Drosophila melanogaster: one gene and its partner. The protein of the gene in region 1 interacts with the protein of each later gene in a pairwise test. Each region holds a gene or a part of one and is shown on either strand. Other genes may lie near its edges.

Region 1 (4,356 bases):
CCTTTGGGACTGGGATTGCGCCGCCATCTGATTTTCCACGCGCTGTCCAACGAACTGGAGCTGGCCATTCCTTTGGATATCCTAAATAATGCCACGAATTGGCAAAAGGGTCTGAGCTCCTCCCTGTCGGAATTCACTGTCTTGGGTAAGAGAGGGATTCAGTGTGCCTCGCATGCGATAAGCAGACAAGGATTCCTGTTCTGTGGCTTCCTGGAGCCAATCGGAATTTTCGGCTGGGACATACGAAGGCCCTACAATCGCGAAAATGTCAAGCTACTTGCTATTAATCCGGCTACGCTGCAATTTGTGAGTGGCATGAAGATTGTCCGCAGACCTGCTGATGGACGGGAGGAACTGTGGCTGCTCTCCGATCGACTGCAGAAGATATTCGCCGGAACCATTGACTACAGGGAAATCAATTATCGGGTGATGCGGTGCGATGTTGATGACCTGTTGCAGGGGCGGGGCTGCTTTTAGGTGCCCAATTCCTAATGCCCAGACACCCTCGAGATCTGTGTAAATACTTTTAAAGCCGACATAAAAGATGTCCATCTATAAATCTTGGGACGATTCGAAAGTGTTTGCTTGACCGCCACAGGTACACGACCTTTGTCTTTGGGTTTGATGGTCCATGTTACACTCGCAAAAATAAATACCAAAATGCCAAACACTCTTTATCAGCTTTCTTATTCTTTTCACTTAATAAGTGCTGAGGTCGTGTTAAATTTTTACATTCATTCGCATTTATAAAATTATAAGTAATAAATCATTAAATAAAGATTCTTATCTTTGGATTTAGCAATGATAGGACTTAAATGTATTGCAACATTTGTTCTATTACCACATAGCTTAAGTTTCTCTGAGTGCACTTTGAGATTGAAGGCTAAGAACTTTAGGGCCTACCTGCACATCTTTAGTCTTCGGCAATCGTTTGAACCGCGCGGAACTGTCACTTAGCAGGTTCTCATTTGATAGCCATGTTGGTCGTCCTGCTCGCATTATTTTGTGCAGTCCAGGGCCAGGCATTGGTCCTCAAGGAGCTGCACACCCTGCATCAGTGGACGAACCTCAGTTTGGGCGACGATCTGTCCAAGGGCAATCGCTTTCTGCCGGTGGATGTGGACATTGAGTACGGCGATGAGGGCAGGCATCGCACCTTTCTCACGATTCCGCGACTGGGGATGGCCACACCCTTCACACTGGCCACCGTCATTGCGGAGCACAATGAGCTGGTGGAGAATCCCAGACTGGAACCGTATCCCAACGAGGAGTGGCACGTGCCACCCAACAATTGCTCCGGCATCACCTCAGCCATTAGGACTTATGTAAGTAATAAAGCATATTTTCCCAACAGAAGATATTTCATGAATATTTATCGTTTTCTCCCAGATCGACGAGTGCTGGCGACTCTGGGTGGTGGATTCAGGGCAGGTAAACTCCCTGCAGTTGTGCCCGCCACAAATTCTCACATTTGATTTGGTGAAGGACGAACTAGTCCAACGACACGCACTTCCGCCCGATTCCTACATTCCCAGCGTATCCATCTTCACGGCTTTGGTGGTGGATCTGGCCGAGAGGGGCACACCCAACCGATGTGTTGGCGGCAGAGCGTATATAGCCGATGCCTGGGGTTATGGTCTAATCGTGTTTGACTCCCTGACGGGACGATCCTGGCGCATAGAGCATGAGTCCATGAAGCCGTCGCCCTTGCTGAGATTAGGACGCTCCAGCAACTCGCAGGCGGGAATATTTACAGTGAGCCTCAGTCCCAGCGAAGTGGAAGGTAGCTATTCAATTTAAATTCTAAATACTCAAAAATTATTTATAATTTCCAATGCAAATTTACAGACCGCTTTCTGTACTTTCACACGCTGAACTCCTTTAATGAGATGAGGGTTCCGCTCTCCCTGATCAACAACGAGACCTTCTGGAAGTCTGCGAATGCCAGCAGGGATAGCTTCCACAGCCTGGGCACCCGAGGAATCCAGTGCGAATCGGAGGTGATGGATCAGTCGGGGAATCTCTACTGCAGCCTCATCAGTTTAGGGGCGCTGGTGAAATGGGAGGAGTCCGTGTCCAACTACACGGCGGATGACCTGCGTGTGGTGGCCTACAATCCGCACAAGATCAAGTTCGTCACGGGCCTCAAGATCAACAGGAATTCCAAGGGAGAGGAGGAGCTGTGGGCCTTGAGCAGCCAGCCGAAACTCTTTGTTGGCGGCGACTTGCCCGCGAACGAGGTCAAGTTCCAAATAATTGGCTGCCGAACCGCTGACCTGCTTGCCAACACGCCGTGTACAGTGGGCGCCGCAGAAACCACGCCCACCAACGTTTAATTAAAACTTAGTTTTAACAAGTTTGAAACTGCGTCAATCGATTACTCTGATTTAAATTGCTGGCTGTAGAAGGCTGGCTGTTATGGCGCAACTTTGATCTATCGATAAATTGCTGACTGTGTTTAGCTGAGTAGTATGGCATTTGATTTGCTGACTGTGGATAGCTTTGTGCTATGGCACGTGCTTAGGGCTTGGTCACACTTAAGTTAGCCAATTAGAAAAGTAAACAATGTCTAACTGGAAGCCGTCAGGCTACGAATTACTAATTAGAAAATCTCCAACTAGACATGAATAGGAAAACCTCTAACTAGATTTGAATAGGTAAACCTCCTATCGATAGTAGCCGGTAAATATCGATATCGAATTACCGGGTGACCATCGGCTTAAGTTCCAGCTCTATGTTTACGTGTAGAACTTTATTTTCGGTTTAGTTTTGTTTACCAATAAATTTCGTTAGCTATGACAAATCTACAACGCTGGCTATTTTACGCATCGCTCTTTGCGATTCCCTATCTCTCCGTTGTTTTGGGAACAGTGCAAACGCCACTAACTACCAAGTATTTCCTGCACATTCAGCTTTTACCACTTTTGCTCCTCGTGATTTTTGGAGTGAGTTTTTGGATATGAATCAATGCAGATAACACCTCTTATTGACTACTACTATATATTACCCACAGATATATTCCGTTTGGACTGTTCTATATAGAACTCTGACTTTTAACGATTGTCCCGAGGCCGCCAAGGAGCTGCAGGATGAAATTCAGGAGGCTCGCAAGGATTTGATAGCCAAGGGATTTCGGTTTCGAGATTAGGAGACTTCCAGCTCGTAGGACTTGTGCATGTTAATCTGTAATTCCATTATTTATAAAAACAAAAATTACGCAAATTTACTCTAGACCGCATTTTGTGTGGGCGGACGCGTTGTTGGGGGCTGATTTCCCCAGGTGTCGGAAGTTTGGTGGCCAAATTATGTTGAGGTTTTGAAAGGATATGCTTGAAAAAGTATGGAATATGTTTATGTTTAATTGGCTTAGCTCCCCTGTGAATTACTCAAAATAAAAAATATAAGAAAACTAAAAAAGTATATGAGGTAAAATACGTTTAAAGAGATTAATAATATTCTTTACGGAAAACATATTTTTACTTAATGAACATGGTATATGGAAAACTCGTAAGTGCGAACCATATATTGCAAATCCATGCTTTGGCTATCTATTTCCAATAAATCAATTTTTTTAAAATTCTCTTAATTACAATGCGAAAGAGAAAAAAATATACTGTTTCAAAACTTTAATTTTCTCTTCTGCAAAATACTGGAAGGAGTTATAATTGCGAAGCTGAATGTTGTGATACTCAAAAGATCCAATATAAACCGATTAATAGCCATTTGAAGTTAATTTGTGTAATTTTTTTTTTAATGGCGGACAATAGTTTGAAAATAGAAATAAATTTCAAGAAGATAATACATAGTTGATGATAAAAAAGATAGTACATTTATTTACTCATGGTTGGGCAGTCTGGAAATCGGCTTTCTAATGGCCGACTGGAACTGGAACGGCGGTTTAAGCGTCAAGCTCTCTACAACAATCAACAGTTCGCGCTCAGCCACCGAACCGCTAACAACACGACCGCCGTTCGTTACGTGCTGGCTATATAACTGCATTTATAAGAAATTCTGAAGAACGAGAAGCCTGAAGATGAGTCACAAAATCGCCGCTGTGTGCCTCTTGATGAGCTGCCTGATTGCCACGGCTTATAGTGCCGCTAAGGTGAGTTTCCGGCTCGGAAAAACCCTTCGCCAAACTAGCGAAAAATCAGCCAACGGGGCCAACTAAGCCATTACACAACAGCCAAGCGTGTCAGGGGCACTCCGAATTGCTTTTACCATTTAGGTGAAGACGTGATTAAGTCGAATAACTAAATAGTGGGGGTATAGGAATACAAAAATGCAAAATAAAAAAATCCATAAAAGAGCTGCACCCTTTTCGTGGCAGCAACAAGTGGCATTTCGAGAGTTTAA
Region 2 (5,063 bases), about 12 Mb from region 1:
AATTAGGGTGTTTGTACTAAGGTCTTAGACTACAAAGAGCTGTTCGAGCGGCAGTTTGCCAAAGATCCTGTCCACCACCGACTTGGCTATCAGTCCGAAGGCCTCGCCAATGCCCGGTTTCAGTTCATTGAAGATGTCCTTCCAGTTCTCATTGATAAGCGCGTGCATGTTCTCGCTGAGATCTTTCTGGCCGTTGAACAGATTTTCCAGCTGGTAGGTCACATGGGATGGATCCAGCTCAACCTTTATGTTCATCACCTCGGCGTAGGTTTGATGATCGCCCTTGGAGACGCGCTTCAATTTGATCTGTGCACGTACCTTTGTTCTAGCTGCGAATTCCAGAAACACATTAAAAATTTTAGATTTCAAAGCTGTGGGAGGCAAATCTTACTGAGGCGTATGTCAGCAATGCCATTTCCGGTGATGGGCAGAATGAGTATTCTTCCGTCCACCGAGTAGGGTCCTCTGACTCCTATTTCTGGAACTTCCATGACCAGCTCGATGGAGCGGCTGAGATCCCTTGTGAATCCGCTAAAATCCGAAACAGAAAAATGTAGTAAGCAGAGCGATCATAAAATGAAATGAGGATCCACTCACCTCACTCGCTTCGCAACTCCCTGATGCAGACCCAAGATGTCCATCTCGTGGAAGCTGAGATCGATGTTGACCGGACTGTGCGGATTGCGTCCGATTTTGAACTTCTTGACGTGCAGCGGATCGAGGGGGATCAAGCCCAGCTCCTTGATACCGCTTTTGGCGTAGTTCCTGAGCACGAAGTTCACCCTGTCCTCCAGGCACTGCTCGTCCATTATGGCGCACCTCTCGATGCCCGAGGCTGTAAATTGGGGCGTGGCGATTGTGAAATATACATAAACATTATATATTACGGAAAGGGGGTGTGTGCAACTCACGGAAATCGGAGGCGTGTCCGTAGGTGGACGCACATCCGAACAGCAGGACGAGGGCGAGAGTTAGCTCCATAATTGCTGGCGGCGAACGTAATCGAGTACTGATCCATTAGCCGCGGGCGTTAACACTTATATAGTCACTTTCGTCAATTGAAATGTATCATGTTTTTGTTGCCGTAAACCGCTTTTGCGTTTCAGCCGCACAGAATTTGACTTTAGACCGTTTGGCAGTTGAGTCAGTTAAATGGATTATAAACCGAAACCGGCAGGCTGGCTGTATGGCAAAGTGGCTGGTTATAGCCGGCGAATTCATTTTACGATTCCCTTTAATGAACTCCCAAGTTCCCAACTCCCAAGCCAGACATCGACCCCGTCCCATTCAATCGCTCCTAATCGCGTTTTGGGTGCAATTTGCTCGATATATGCAAATTGGATCGGCCTTCCCCAAAACGCACATTAATTCCCGTTTCAACGTCTAATTAATGGCTAAGTCAACAAAGATTGTTTATCAAGCTTTTTTTTAATGTAACTGCCTTTTCCAGTTACAGATATTCCCTGCCTTTCGGAATCTCCGCGCGCGAATAACACATACTTTCAGGCGGTCCTTCATCTTTTGGATCAACCTGATCTATAGGGTTCCACTCACTGTAACTTAATTAATAATGGGTCATAGTTTTAAATGTTTTTATGGTATTTTACAGAATTCTTTGTATCACTTATAAATAATTTACAATGTGCTAACTACATATATGTAACTTTTATTGCCACACAACACTTACAGATTATTTAGCTGAGATGGCTTAATAGTAGTTACTTGTGTTCTCACTTTCAAACGCGAAACACGAACTCCATTAAACCTAATGATGATTGCTAGCCTCAAAACTTAGATCTGTCAGTACGCAAACAACATGATCTAGTATCTTTATGTGGACTCTGCCCACTTTGAAGAGCTAACTCACGATTCATCCGCAAAAAACTTGGCATACGGCAGTTTGGAGAACACACCTTTGACGACGCCCAGGTAAAGTTTGCCAAAGGATCGGTCGATTGCTTTGGCCGTCTCCTTGTAAATGGCCTCCGAGTTTTCGTTGAGGAAGACATTCATGTTGTCACCCAGCGCCTTGTCCCCATTGAACAGATTACTGAAATGGTAGTGGCTGGACTCCGGCTTCATCGTTATTTTCAGATCGGTAACGTCCAGGTAGGTCTCCCCATTCTTCACCAGCGGTTTGCCCGAGAAGCTGACGATTGCCCTGACGTTAACTGGACAGGATTTTTAGTTCCTCGAAATCTGAAAAATCAATTGGCATAGCTTACCCATTGTCATGTTACTCTGTCCAGTTCCGCTGATCGGTAGAATGAGTACCTTGCCCTGGATGTTATAGGGTCCAACGAGTGAGAAGGTTTTCGTGACAATTTTCACTTCGTGCTTGGCGGTGAGATCCCTTCCGAAACCCCTGCAAAGATCAAGGCAAGTTGAATCACATCCTTCTCATCCAAACAAAGTGTTGTTCCTGCACCCACTTTACTTTGACGATCCTTTGGTCCTTGATCCCATACAACAGATTGTCGGTGAAGGTTAGAGTTATGCCCACGGGACTGGAGCTCTCACCCTGGCTAATAACCATCCGATCCACCTTCAACGGATCCAGCTGCATCAGGTTCAGACCAGGATCCCCCTCCGCCGAGTTTTCGCTGAACAGGGTGTTGCACAGCTTCATGATACATTCGCCATCACCATACTTACAAGGTTTTGGATCTTCGGCTGTGAGGAACACAAAGGATTATTTTGGAACCGAAAAGTAGAGGTAGGTGTCTATCTAGGTTTCCCAGATTATTACTTCATTGGCAAGGTCTTGTTTTAAAGGACTTTCTCTTACGGAATTTGGCATCCACCGAGACCAAAAGGCACAAAACCACTGCGAATGCGATTGCGAACATGCTAACACGTCTATAACTTTAAGTTACTGAATACGAACGGGATTTTCGCCTAGTATTTATAGTGGTCCACTAAGTGCAACTCAAATAACGTCTAATGGCAACCTTTGATATAGCTCTTATCTGTGCCGTAACCGTCTGTCTGTCAATTCCAGAGCTCGTTTCAGAATCATCAACTAATAACGAATAGCAACTGAATCATCTGATGGTATTAGGTAAGAAAACGTTGTTCTAATTTCAATACAAGCCTTAGTTTATCACCTCATTTGGGTGCACTTTAGACAGCAAGTAGATCATGTAGCAAATCTTCTTATTCACCTTAATCTTCATCAATCAGTTACATCGAAAATCCGCTCAATGAATTTAAGTATCAGACAGATTATGTCCAATTAAAAGTCATGGTATTAAGTTCTCCCTTAACAAAGTTAACTGGCAAGTGTGCAACTCACAAAAGGGCCAGTTCCAAATATAGCCGAATTGAGATGCGAAAACAACGCAGTCATCGTGACCACCAGTTCTTTAGTTGGCTTTAGTTCTTGCGAATCGAAGTGAAGGGCAGTGGAGGAGTAGCGGTGGAGTAGTAGCTCGGAACAGGTCCTAGACTTTGGGTTAACTTAATGACCAAGTGTCCCGCTTTAAAGTCCAGCCCCCGTGGAGAACAAAAGCAACTTGTTTCGCTCGGAATCGCTGCAGTTGATTGCTCGCTCGTGGAAGATTTTCACTGACCCAAGGCCAACTGGGTGTCCGATTCCCTGGGATCGGGATGGCAGCTATACCGTTGGCTACTCTTGAACTTGGACAGTGAAATGAGTTCGCAATGAGTGACAGCACAGTTGTGTTCAGATTAATAGCACTGCCATTTAGTTAGTTCTTGATTCTAAGACAAGCAGATCTTAGTCATATATCATATCATCATATCATATACTAATTTTAGTGCACTTTGGGCTAAATTAGTTGCACAGGATGTAGGAGTAGTAGTAGGAGCATGCATCTTCGTCTTTTTTAAGACACAAAGTATTTGCTCATAATAATTAAGGTGTTTATTTCAATTTGTTGGATGTTTTAATACTTTAAGCGTATGTATAACTACGCTTTTATCCACAAGTATAGTCACCTTAGCAATAATGCCTTTGTCATGCAAATTTCGAATCAATCGTTCCATCACGTGAGCTGCCTGTTGATTGCTGATTGCTGGCCAAAAATGAAACAAAAAGTGTATGCGACACTTGTGCGGAAATAGTGAGATCCACGTTTTAGCTAACAATGGCCCCCCGCAGAAGCAGAACCAGTTTTTTTTCGAATGTTTTTGTTTATTCTACAAGTTAAAGCTTAGCTTAGCAGATACGATGATACGATGATGATGTGTCAATGGCCGGAATGCCGGAATGCAACGCCCCATGTGAGTGAGAATAGCTTGGATAGGTGAGGAAATACTCGTACACTTAGCCTAAAGTCCTAGGGCGCCTGATGGCGACTAGGACGACTAGTGCTCAGTTCTCGAGGAATAAATCCTCGTAGGCGAAGCGCTTGAAGAGCTGCGAGAGAACGCTCTTCATGATCTCGGCGATGGCCACATGAATGGAGGGATGCAGCTCGTTCCACACCTCCGTCCAGTTGTCGTTGAGGAACTGATTCAGATTGGTGCCCAATGCCTGGTCGCCATTAAAGAGGTTCTCCAGCCGAATGTTCATCCTGTGGGAACACAAATATGTTAGTATATCTCAGCTAAAATCCGAACTGCACCTACTTTTGTGGCTCCACCAGAACCTTGAGCTTATCCACGCTCAGGTAGGTGCGTCCATTGCGCTGCTGTGTGCCCGGCTTGAATTTCACCGAAAACTTGGGATTGTGCAACACGATCTCGGCATCGCCATCGCCACGAATCGGCAGGATCAGGATGCGTCCATCCGCCACGTACTTGCCCTTCAGCACGATCTTGGGAAAGGATCCGTACATCTCAAACTTGCTGGTTGCAGGATCAGCGCCAAAGCCACTGAAAAATACGATTATGATGGATAAGTGCAATCAACTTAATATATCTTCTTCTGTTAATAAACATGAGAACTTCTTCACTTTTGCTTAAGAAGGAAATCACTTTTCATTTCACTTGCTACTTACACGGCTCTGTCGAACTTCACACTGGACAGGCCCTCCACATTCACGTCCCTGAAGTTGAGCTTTAGATTCAGGGAGCCAGTGCGTCCGTCGGAGATGTCG

The links. The genes of interacting proteins can lie anywhere in the genome.
Region 2: the proteins of Dpm3 (region 1) and to interact in a two-hybrid assay, tested with the Drosophila melanogaster proteins (one large-scale study listed by BioGRID).

Annotation. Positions count from the first base shown.
Region 1 is NT_033777.3:13,401,428-13,405,783, reverse strand, and holds Dpm3 (Dolichyl-phosphate mannosyltransferase subunit 3), read left to right. Parts: upstream 1-2,732; 5' UTR 2,733-2,795; coding exon 2,796-2,945; intron 2,946-3,013; coding exon 3,014-3,148; 3' UTR 3,149-3,225; downstream 3,226-4,356. Other genes in the region: yellow-e2, read left to right, coding at 1-477; yellow-e3, read left to right, coding at 978-1,325, 1,390-1,783, 1,849-2,336; GILT1 (Gamma-interferon-inducible lysosomal thiol reductase 1), read left to right, coding at 4,034-4,105.
Region 2 is NT_033777.3:25,237,976-25,243,038, reverse strand, and holds to (takeout), read right to left. Parts: upstream 2,860-5,063; 5' UTR 2,850-2,859; coding exon 2,789-2,849; intron 2,674-2,788; coding exon 2,433-2,673; intron 2,366-2,432; coding exon 2,226-2,365; intron 2,172-2,225; coding exon 1,864-2,171; 3' UTR 1,371-1,863; downstream 1-1,370. Other genes in the region: CG11854 (uncharacterized protein), read right to left, coding at 25-329, 392-531, 598-835, 912-981; Jhbp7 (juvenile hormone binding protein 7), read right to left, coding at 4,337-4,538, 4,594-4,839, 4,965-5,063.